Diceros bicornis minor: one gene and its partners. The protein of the gene in region 3 purifies or fractionates together with the protein of the main gene of each other region. This does not show direct contact. Links are inferred from orthologs where the notes say so. Each region holds a gene or a part of one and is shown on either strand. Other genes may lie near its edges.

The links.
Region 1: the proteins of SNRNP70 (region 3) and NCBP1 purify together in Homo sapiens (affinity purification with mass spectrometry; 3 studies listed by BioGRID and IntAct, counting the BioPlex papers as one, with this or other methods). This does not show direct contact. The link is inferred for Diceros bicornis minor from reciprocal best matches to the Homo sapiens genes SNRNP70 and NCBP1.
Region 2: the proteins of SNRNP70 (region 3) and MRPS9 purify together in Homo sapiens (affinity purification with mass spectrometry; 3 studies listed by BioGRID and IntAct, counting the BioPlex papers as one, with this or other methods). This does not show direct contact. The link is inferred for Diceros bicornis minor from reciprocal best matches to the Homo sapiens genes SNRNP70 and MRPS9.

Annotation. Positions count from the first base shown.
Region 1 is NC_080767.1:7,925,723-7,929,469, reverse strand, and holds the start of NCBP1 (nuclear cap-binding protein subunit 1), read right to left. Parts: upstream 2,536-3,747; 5' UTR 2,441-2,535; coding exon 2,407-2,440; intron 1-2,406. UniProt on the Homo sapiens protein: Component of the cap-binding complex (CBC), which binds cotranscriptionally to the 5'-cap of pre-mRNAs and is involved in various processes such as pre-mRNA splicing, translation regulation, nonsense-mediated mRNA decay, RNA-mediated gene silencing (RNAi) by microRNAs (miRNAs) and mRNA export.
Region 2 is NC_080779.1:8,698,365-8,702,111, forward strand, and holds the start of MRPS9 (small ribosomal subunit protein uS9m), read right to left. Parts: upstream 2,247-3,747; 5' UTR 2,220-2,246; coding exon 2,085-2,219; intron 1-2,084.
Region 3 is NC_080773.1:24,587,897-24,591,643, forward strand, and holds the start of SNRNP70 (U1 small nuclear ribonucleoprotein 70 kDa), read left to right. Parts: upstream 1-1,483; 5' UTR 1,484-1,681; intron 1,682-2,418; 5' UTR 2,419-2,428; coding exon 2,429-2,575; intron 2,576-3,747. UniProt on the Homo sapiens protein: Component of the spliceosomal U1 snRNP, which is essential for recognition of the pre-mRNA 5' splice-site and the subsequent assembly of the spliceosome. SNRNP70 binds to the loop I region of U1-snRNA.

The DNA of each region.
Region 1 (3,747 bases), on a different chromosome or scaffold from region 3:
TTTAAGACCAACGTTGACGTACTACTCAGAAAAGAAGATTCTTTTCCAAATATTATTGCTCACTGACAATGCACCTGGTCACCCAAGTGTGCTGATGGAGATGTACAACACGATTAATGCTGTTTTCATGCCTGCTAACACAGCATCCATTCTGCAGCCCCTGCATCAAGGAATAATTTCAACTGTCAAGTCTTATTATTTAAGAAATATATTTCATACAGCTACAGCTGTGATAAATAGTGATTCCTGGATGGATCAGGGCAAAGTAAACTGAAAATCTCTGGAAAGGATTCACCATTCTAGATGCCATTAAGAACATTTGTGATTCGTGGGAAGAAGTCAAAATACCAACGTTAACAGGAGTTTGGAAGAAGTTGATTCCAACCCTCATGGATGACTTTGAGGAGTTAAAGGCTTAACTGGAGGAAGTAACTGCAGATATGGTGGAAATAACACGAGGACTAGAATTAGAAGTGGAGCCTGAAGATGTGACTGAATTGCTGCAATCTCATGATAAAACTTGAACAGATGAAGAGTTGCTTCTTATAGATAAGCAAAAAAAGTGGTTTCTTGAGATGGAATCTACTCCTGGTGAAGATGCTGTGAAGACTGTTGAAATGACAGCAAAAGATTTAGAACATTACATCAACAGGTGATAAAGCAGGGTTTGAGAGGATTGACTCCAATTTTGAAAGAAGTTCTGCTGTGGGTAAAATGCTATCAAATAGCATCATATGCTACAGAGAAATCATTCATGAAAGGAAGAGTCAACTGATGTGGCAAACTTCACTGTTGTCTTATTTTAAGCAGTTGCCACAGCCACTCCAACCTCGAGCAACCATCACCCTAATCAGACAGCAGCCACCAACATCAAGGCAAGACCCTCCACCAGCAAAAAGATGATGACTCGCTGAAGGCTCAGATGATGGTTAGCATTTTTTAGCAATAAATTATTTTTTAATTAAGGTATGTACATTGTGTTTCTTTGGATACAATGCTACTGCACACTTAATAAACTACAGTATAGTGTAAATATAACTTTTACATGCACTGGGAAACCAAAAAGTTTGTGTGACTTGCTTTACCGCGGTGGTCTGGAACTGAACGTGCAACATCTCCACTGTAGGCCTTGGCGCATACACTATGTATGTTTAGCCCATACACTAACACTCCAAAACTTTAGGTGTCAGATGAGAAGGCTGGACTAGAATATCCTATCAAACCACACTCCAGCAGAAATCTGATGTTTCATTGTTAAAACTAAATACACGTGATTCTGCCCCTACCCTCAACTGCCCCAATATTCAAGGAGACAAAAATGTTAGTGCAGAGAATTAATTCAACTAAAAATTTTTACTCCATATTTTTTCTTACATCACTGACATCTGCCAATGTTTACCACATCTTAAGCATTAACAGATGATAAACATTATTACACACTAAGGTTTAAAAGGTGGTATAACCCAGGCAAGATCACAAAGTAAATGGTGGGGTCTAGCTTTGAACTTAAACCCTCTGATTCCAAAGTCTGGCCTTTTAACCACTACAGTACACTCTTTTCAAAGAACAATACACTAAAACATTAATAACAGAATTACTCTTAGTTTCTTCTTCTTTTTTTTTTTTTGGTGGGTGTGTATTCCTGACCGATTTTTGTAATTTAAGTATCTTTTTCAATTTTTAACTAGCAAAATTATTCTTCGTTTTTATGACGACAACATCATGGGGACATGAGATCAACCCTCCAAATGGAGATGGGAACCCGTGAGCTAAATCTCTAAGAGCTCTCCAGTTAGTTTTCCAGCACTCTTTCTTACACGAGGGAAATACGCTTATGGCCAGTTCCAAACCTAACAACATGCATCTGTTTATTAGTGAGTGACCTCTTGGGTGTGGGTAAGAGACAGATTTCTTTCCCTGCAGCTTGAAAGGAGGCAAATGACCGAGACAGGGGCAAACCTCAGGCTGTGATTCTTCAGATCTCTCAGTCCCGGCTTTGTCCCTTTCCTTCAGGACTCTTCCGAGAACCCTCTTCAGGGGCAGTTTGAGGGTCAAAAGGAGACACCGGGACTAGCGGGTTCCTGTCACTGTCCCTGAGAGGCGGCCGCACAGACACAGGTATACCTCCCCTCTCGGCGATGCTAAGGACCAAATCCTGAAGTCCTTAGAGACCAGGGGGCCACCAGGCCTCCTTTCCGCCGACGGCTAAAGGAGCTGGGGCGGGGGAAGCAGGGGCTTTCCGGGGGTCGCCCGGCCACACTCGCTGTGCCACCCTCCTTCCCTCTGTGGCTCCCCGAACGCTCCCGGGGCGAAGGGCTTCCCGTCCCTTCGCTGAGACCCGAAGACCCAGGAAGCCCAACCCGGGCCCCCCCGGGCGCGGCCTCGGCGGCCGGGCCGGACACTCACCGTCGTTCTCGTCGCTGTGCCGCCGCCGCGACATGCCGCACGCCGGTGCGCTGCCGAGCCGAGACGCCGGGGGGGAAGCGCGGCAGGAAGCGTTGGGCCGCCGGCCGGCGCGAAGACAGCGGCGCGGAGCGCGGAGTGGCCGGCGCGCAGGCGCACTAGCTCGCGACGGCCCCCGGAAGCGCAAGGAGGAGAGGCGGCTGGGTGGGCTCAGCGGGCTCGGATCGCGGAGGGCCGGCGTCTGAGAGCTCACCAGGCCGCGTGCGTCTGGGACCCGCACGCAACCGCCCCCTCGGGCTTCCTCCGCCTCTCGGCTGCCTCCTTCTCCCGCCTTTCGCTCTAAGTCCTTCCGGTGCCAGAGCCCGCTGGCCACGAGCCACGCCTGGAGGCGGCTGGTCTAGGAGGGACGCTCCAGGCCCCGCCTCAACCTCAGACTCTCCTTGGGGCCTCGCAGTGCCTTTCCCAGCGGCCCTTTCGCCAACGTCCTCGAGGACTTCCGGAGCGAGGTGACGTCGGAGCGTCCCTTCCTTCGTAAAGACCAGGCGGGGGCCGGGGTTCCAGGGCGGTGAGCGGCGACAATTGCTAGGTGGAGACGGTTCAGTGAAGAAAGATATAAGAGAGGATCAGGCCCGGCGGGTACGTGCTCCTCTTCCTCCCACTTCCGGGCCTTTGCCTCCTCGGGAAAGCGGCGCGGAGAGCTTGGGTCCGCCCGGCGCGCGGGGTGGGGCCTGCTCGGGAGGCGGCGCCGCACGAGCCGCCCCTGGGACGGCAAGACCCGCCCCGGCGTGAGCCCGCTGCTCCGCGTCCCCTCCGGGTTGTTGTCTAGGAAGGAACAGGTGGCTGTTTTAGTAATGTTTGCAGTGGTTATTGGGTACCTGCGTACGTGTATGTGAGCACCCCCTGCCCCGACGTCTCCGAGGAGCAGCACACCTGCTTATCTGTCTGAGATGTCGCAGGTCTAACATGGAACTCTTGTGTCGCTCTCCTGGCCTAAGTGTGCCTCCTTCAGTCTTACCCATTTCAGTAAATGGCACCATCTATCCGATTGCTTAGTTCAAAGTGTAGGTAGGAGTCATTCTTGGGTCCTCCTTTTCCTTCGTTTCCTACATAACAGTGTATCTGTAAACCCTGCCGGTTCTGCTTTCAAAACAAATCCAGAGTCAGACCACGTTACTCCTCTGTTTACAACTCTCGGATGACTTTCCATGGCAAACGCCATACCCTGACTTACAGGGTTCTGCTCTGTCATCAGTATACTCCAGCCACTCTTCTTGTTCTTCCAATGAGTCAAGCTTAAAATTCCCACTTTAGGAATTTATACTGTTTCCTTTGCCTAAAGATCTC
Region 2 (3,747 bases), on a different chromosome or scaffold from region 3:
TTATAAATGTCTTTAGCCATACACATGGAGTCATTAAGGGTCTGAGGGGGCCAGTTAAGTCTTTCAGTTGTGGTAAAATATATGCTGTGGTGGTATTCAGGACTTTGGGGATTCAGCCATCTTAGGACCATCCCTTAAGAGTGCTAAGGGTCGATCCTGTTTGGTAATTGTTTGACTATAATTTGTTCACTTCACAGTGCCTGGCTCAAGTAAAGTGCTCAGTAAACATTTACCACATGAAAAAAAAAAAAAAAACTCTAATTCAAGAGTGGTCAGGGAGATGAAAATTAAAGTAACAAGGAGAAATCATTTTTCATTTTTCACTCATCTTATTGAAAAAATAATAATACCTACTGCAGGTAGAAAAAGGGGCACTCTCAAACACCAATGATGGAATGTGAATTGCCACAGCCTTTTTGGAAAGCTATATGGCAATATCTATTAAAATTTAAGATATAGACATCCTTTGCAGCAATAACCTCACAACTGGAACTCTCTCCTACAGAAATAAAAGCATCAGCATCTAAGAATTATACCAGGATGTTTACTGAACACTTTATTAGTGGGAAGAAAATGGAAACAAAGCAAATGCCCTTTGTTAAATTAACTTGCATACATTCATACCACATAATATTATGCAGCAGTTAGACACATAACAGGTGACTTGCAGGGATTTCTACTAAATATGTAAGTTAGAGAAGGAAAAAGTAGAACAGGATCCATTTTTTTGCAAGTATCCACATGCATGTATGCTTGTCTAGGATTAAAAGAACACAAAGACAGAAAAATACATAGGTTCAGGAATTCAAAGGAGGGAGAGAAAGTTAGCACCCCTCCCCCCCAACAACACACACAAACATTTAGTGTCAACAATAAAACATTCTGTATACTATAGTCCCTTTTATAGATAATTATGTGTATACAGGAAGGATATACTCAAAAGAAATGCATGAAAAAATAAAAACTTTCAACATATTGTCAAGAAGTCAACTATCATAATCTAAAACTATATGCAAAAAGGAATACTATCTTTTTCCTATATTATTTCTTTTATATTTTAACCCAAATCAACCGATCCATCCATTCATTTAGCCATCAAACATTTGTTTTTATTATTTTTTTATTGGAAAATATTTGGTACTGTTTATCACTTTCCCTCCTGGAAACATTCTCCTGTTTTCCGTAACACCACACTGTCTGGTTTTTCCCCTAGTTCTCTGGCAGCTCATTCTCAATCTCTCGGGGGTCCTCTTCCTTGACTGTTTGTCCTTCAGGGCCCTGTACCTCTGCTTATTCCTGATTCAGCACACCCTCCTGAGGTGATCTAACTTATTACCATCTACAAGGCAATAGACGACTTGTAAATCAGTTCTCTTCTTGAACTACAGACTTGCCTATCTATGGGCCTACTGGAAATCTCCACTTGGACATCCCAATTATAACATAATAAATACAACTGTATCCAAAACTAAACTTCCCTCTCAAATCTCGTTCCTCCTTCTGAGATCCCATGTCAGTGAATGGCATCATCATCCAACCAGCTGTAAAGCTGGCTTCCTATTGCCCTCAGAATTAGACGAAATGTACAAGTTCTGGTCTCCATCTCTCCAGAGACAAAGCATTGGGAAAATTAAGAAAACGGAAACTGCATACATGCAAAGCACTTTTAGAAATTCACTGTTTATCCTCTCCACTGTGTGACTTTCTCCGTTAAGTCTTCCAGGCCACTGCAGGAGTCCAGTTCTCATTCACCCGCCCCGGCGCGGCTCTCCTCCCCTCTGGACCGACACCACACCTCGGCACAGGCTTCCCTTAGCCTGGCAGCCGAGTCAAGGGAGGTCGCTGTAGTTCCGTCTGCAGACACCTTCCCCCCTCACTGCATGCTGCGCAAACCACAAACAACACGTAGAGTGGCCGCCGCAAAGCAATAACCACTCCTCCTCTCTCAACCTCAGACCTCTACTAAATACCTAAGACTCCAGGGTCCGGTGTGAGAGCACACGAGACGCCAGGGGAAGGTGGCGGCGCCGGCTCCACATCCACGCGCTACAGGGACCAGCGCTTCCGCTTCTCCCGGGCCTTACCTGGGATCCGGTACCTGTCTGCAACTCAGCAGCCGCGGCTTTCCAGAGGCCTTGTCCCCGGGCAAGACTAACCCTACTCCCAAGAAAGAGGCGGTAGGAAACTGCTGTGCCGCAGAACACACAGAGAGCCGCCATGTTGGCTGCGGGAGACCTGAGGCCTGCGCAGGCGCCGATGGGCGCCGCGTTCCCGAGGCTGTCGGGAAGACGAGCTTGCCGGAAGTCTGAGGCAGGGGGCGTGTCCCGCGGGGCGAGGGGTCTCGTCGCTGATTGGGTGCGCGAGCCCGCGGGGCGTGTCCGACTCCACCCCTGGCATGCGTTGACTGGCCAGTGGGTCATGCAGGTTGGCTTCCTTGATCTTCTGTATCGCTTGGATTTGGTCGCTCTCCAAGTCGTGTTGGTAGCAGTTTCACGTGGCTCTTTATCTAGCGCTTCCTTCCCATGCCCAGTGCTGCACCTCGAGCCGGTTCTCCCTGAACCGCGGGACCCTCGCAGCCCGCCCGCACCTCCCTCGTCCCTTCTGTCTTCACCACGCTGCGACACAGACGCTGCTCTCCCCAGCACGCAGGAAGGCACTCCAAGCCTCGGTTCCTGTCTGCCTGCCTTCTTAGCATGGGTTTTCCTTCCTCTCTACCTTGCCACATTTTTCAGGGTTCAGGGTCTTCACCCTCCTCCAGCAACTGCCAAACCACTCTAGGTTCCATGGCACTCACTCTGACATTGTTTCTTAACTGGATAATGCACAGGCTAAATCGGAAACCGGTGAGGACGAACCTTCTTACTCAGAACCTTCTTACTCATCTTGACGCGTCACTCCCCATAGTGTTAGTACTAAGCTTTACTTGAAGCCCAATCACAACTAAATAAATAAGTGTTGAATAGAGATGAGTGTTGTGGGAGATCAAGATTTGGCCACCCTGAAATATATCTCTTTACCTTGATTGTTTTCTCTGAGGGACATTTGACCTCCCCCACTAACTGCCTAAAGAATTTGACATGGTGGCTCCTTCCTGGAACAGATCTTCTATCATGATGGCTATAAAGATAATGTAGGATAGAGGTTACAATAGCAAAGGCACCAAGCCTCTTTTATCAAAAACTCTGTCTCTCCCTGACCACATTATCTATAGATGACCCCGAAAAGAATTGTCCTCCTGCCCTCTGAAGTCCCAGGCCACTACCGGCCCCCAACACGCTCCTCGCCTTTAGCTGCAATACTTAAGCAAGCAGCTTACACAGAGGGACGAGTTGCTCATTTCTGAGTTTCTCCCATGTATACATGTTATTAAACTTGGTATTATTTTCTCCTGTCTTGTTAATTATTTGGCTAGCCATAAGAACCTTAAGGAAAAGGGCAGAAGGAGATTCTCCCTCTTCCCCCGACAGTGTGCTCCTGACGGTAACTCCCAGGGTGCTTTCTACAAAATAAAGGTTTGAACTTCGTTGAAAGCATTTCCAAATATTTAGACTTGAAGGATCAGTAAAATTAAATACACAGAGAAAAATCTGAAGTCATAGAAAGTTGTCAAGCAAATAAATGCCATCTCCTATCGCCATCCTTTCTTAAAACACAGAACATTTTAACATTAAAAAGGTAGAAATGACAATCAGAATAAAGAGTGGTCCTTCAAACGGAATGCATTTAGTTGTGTGAAAAGCTCACTCT
Region 3 (3,747 bases):
TTTTACAGGGAAAACAAGGGTAGTGCAACAAAGTAACCACCAGGAGGAAACCATCAGACAAACTCAGAATGTGGGACATTCTACTGGAAACGGGGTTGAACTCTGGGAAAAATCAACAACACAACGGGAAAAAAAAAGTGTGTGGGTGTGTGCATATGTGTGTCTACTCTATATTAAAAGAGACTAAAGAGACATGACAAGTAACGGCAATGGGTGAAATTTGATTGGCTCCTGGTTCAGATTAAAACAAAATATTCTTGGTCAGTTGGGAAAACCTGAATAGAGGCTAAACTTTCTTAGAGATGAAAATAATTTTGTGGTTATGTAGCAGAATGTCCTTATTCTTAGGAGATACATGCTGAAGCATTTAGAGGTGAAATGCTGCAATTTACTTTCCAATGGTAGACCAAAAAAAAACACATTACGAAGGCAGGTTTAGTTTTGTTTATTTTCTTTAAATTTTTTATTTTGAAATAAATTTAGAATTACAAAAAACCTCCAAAAATGGAGCAGAGAGTTCCCACATGCATACACAAATAAAGCAAATGTCAAAATATTTTTGAAAATGTCCTTTTATATGTTTCTTGAAACACGAAATTAGTCATTTACATTTTGTAATAATTTCTGTAATTATTATTAAACAGGCAATTGAACCTATCCAAAAAACTTAAAATACAATACTTAACTCCTGATGGGTCTACAGGGCCCTAAATAGCATGGCTGCTGACTCTAATCTCAGGGCAAATGACATGAGGTTCCTGCCATCCGTCCTAAACCAGGCCCTTTACACTTGCTGTTAACCCTGCCCAGATCTCCCTTCCATCTGGCCTTTGTGCAAATGTCACCTCTTCAGAAGTACCTTCCATCTTCGCCCTTTTTAAATTACCCCGCTCTCACTGCCCACCCTCTTACTCCGCCCTATTTTTCTTTATTGCGCAGACCACTATCCGAAATTATATTTATCTTTTTAAATGACTTTATTGTCTCCCTCAGTACAATGCAAGCTCCAAGAAGAAAAAGACTTTGCTTTAGTCACGTGCTATGTCCCCAGAGACCAAACAGCGCGCTTGCTTAATAGTTGTCGATTTAATAGGTTAGACATCAACTCGGCCACACTATTCACGTAGGGACTCTTTGCCAGGTGGCGGAAGGGTCTATTACGGTATAGACGAAACACGCATGCGCGCAAGATCCGGGAAGTGTGTTAAGGGGAGGGGCGGAGCATCGAGAAGAGTCTCGCGGACACCGGCGGTTGGAGCCGCGAGCGCGAGGTCGAAGGGGAAGGCTTGGTGAGAAGCGCGCGTGCGCACTGCGGCCTCCAGCCTGCCGCGGCAAAGGAGTTTAAGGTGCACGAAGGCGGGGTGGTGACCTCGCGCGTGCGCAGTGCCCGCGGCGGCGCCAGGTCCGTGTGTGTGGGCTGGTCTCGACTCGCGCGGCGCGTGCGCAGTGCGGCCGGCGGAGGGATTTGAGACCGGTTCCACCCCTTGCCCCTGTCGCGAGCCGAGGCCGCGCGGGCTCGTGAGCAGCGGCCTGGTTCGCGCGCTCAGTGGGTGACGGAGGCGGAGGGACGTGGACCCCGCCGGAGTAGAAGACAGAGTAGGAGTTCGTGCTGCTGAGGGGCCGCCGCAGCCGCTGCGAGCCCCCGGACCGTCGCCAGGCCGAGGAGGGCGCCGCGCGGCGGGTGAGTGTGACTGGCCTTACCGGGTGCGGGGCCACTACCCACAAGCCCCTGCGGTGGGCCCCAGTCCCTTCCCCGCGGCCGGGTCCCCGTCCCGCGCCACCGCCAGAGCACCTTTCTGCATCCCTTACCCACAGTCCCCTGGGCACTCAGGCCCTCTTGCCATGGCTCCCCCGCGGTCCCTTACCCACAGGCCCTTGCGGTGTGTTGCCTTTTTTTTCCTTCTCTTTCGCGGCATCCTGGACCCTTACCCATAATTCCTTTCGTCTCTGGGGTCCTAGATGTATTAGCCACAAGCCGTTACTTGAGAGGTTTGCTGCTTAGGACCCTGTCTTTTTGATTGGAGGCTTCCTGTGCCCCCTGCCTCATAACCTGTTCTCCAAGGTATGGGACCCCCAGCCGCCACTGCTGTGGATCTCCCTCGTCAGGATCCTTGATTCCCCCACAAACCCCCAGGGAACCTCTCGGCCTCACAGTTCCTTGCTTGGGACTCAGACTTTGCTCAGAAACCCTTTTTCCGTCCTTGTTTGCCTTACCGGCCTTGCCCTGCCCTCACGCAGCCTTCCCGAAGAACTTGCTTTCTCCTTCGGGTTTACTCCTTGGCCCTGTGACATAGGGTCACTCTGAGCCCTGGCTGAGATCCTGCCCCATTTCCCTCTTTTTCGGGGAGTCAAGGGATTGTAGGGGCTGCCTCTCCACCCGCCCACCCCCACACAAGGCTGTCTTGCTTTGGCCCTCAGACTTGGCAAGATGACCCAGTTCCTGCCGCCCAACCTCCTGGCCCTCTTTGCCCCCCGTGACCCCATCCCGTACCTGCCGCCGCTGGAGAAACTGCCACATGAAAAACACCACAATCAACCTTACTGTGGCATCGCGCCTTACATCCGGGAGTTTGAGGTGAGTTTGCTGAGCAGACTTGGGGTGGTTTGGGTTTTAGGGGCCAGGGGCCTGGATTTGGAGTCCAGTCTCTGGCTGTGTTCCAGCTGTGTGGTTTAGGCAGGTGACTTGCTCTTCGTGATCTTCAGTTTTCCTCTCTTAAATGGGGTTGATAGTACATCCCTTGTAGGGTTTTTGTGAAAATTCAGTGACTAGCAGTGGGGGATTCGGGCTCTGAAGGCAGGTAGTCTTTGGCACACGCCATTTATCAGCTGTGTGACCTTGGGCAAGTGGTGTATACTCTTGTGCATCAATTTCTTCATCTTGGGCCGGCCCCGTGGCTTAGCGGTTAAGTGCGCGCGCTCCGCTACTTGCGGCCCGGGTTCGGAACCCCGGGCGCTCACCGAGGCACCGCTTCTCCGGCCATGCTGAGGCCGCTTCCCACATACAGCAACCAGAAGGACGTGCAACTATGACGTACAACTATCTACTGGGGCTTTGGCGGGGGGCGGGGGAGGACTGGCAATAGATGTTAGCTCAGAGCTGGTCTTTCTCAGCAAAAAGAGGAGGATTAGCACAGATGTTAGCTCAGGGCTGATCTTCCTCACAAAAAAAAAAATTTCTTCATCTTTAGTGAGGGGATAATAGAATTTTCTTCATAACATTGATGGGGAATTAACTGCAAAATTTATGTTATGGGGCCTGGCACCAAACAGTCAGCAAATGTCAACGTGTGTTAGTGTATTTATCATCTTTGTGGCGTTCGTAAAGGGTTAGCACGGTGCGATGGGGTGCTTAAGACCATGGGCTTGAGAACTTGAGCTCTGCACCTGCAGGGTAAACACGAACACATGACTTAGGTTCCTGGGCCTCAGTTTTCTCATTAGTAAAATTGGGATAACAACATCCGTCTCTTAAGGTGCATCAGAGCGCACCTGAGAAATGCTGGCATGCAGCCAGCAGAGGAAAGTTCTGGCATCGAGTGGGAAAGGGCGGCTGGAGGCGGAGGAAGTGGCAGAGCAGAAGTTAGTAGCAAGATAACAGAAGGTTGGCTCTTTAGTGGGATTTGCCGCCCTCAGTGAGCTGGTACTGGGGAAATGTCACTAGCCAGTTAAACTAATTTAGTGGCTGCAGGTCAGTGGCACTCTTTGATGACCCAGGTCATGTGCCATTTACTCCTTAATGAGTGGTTG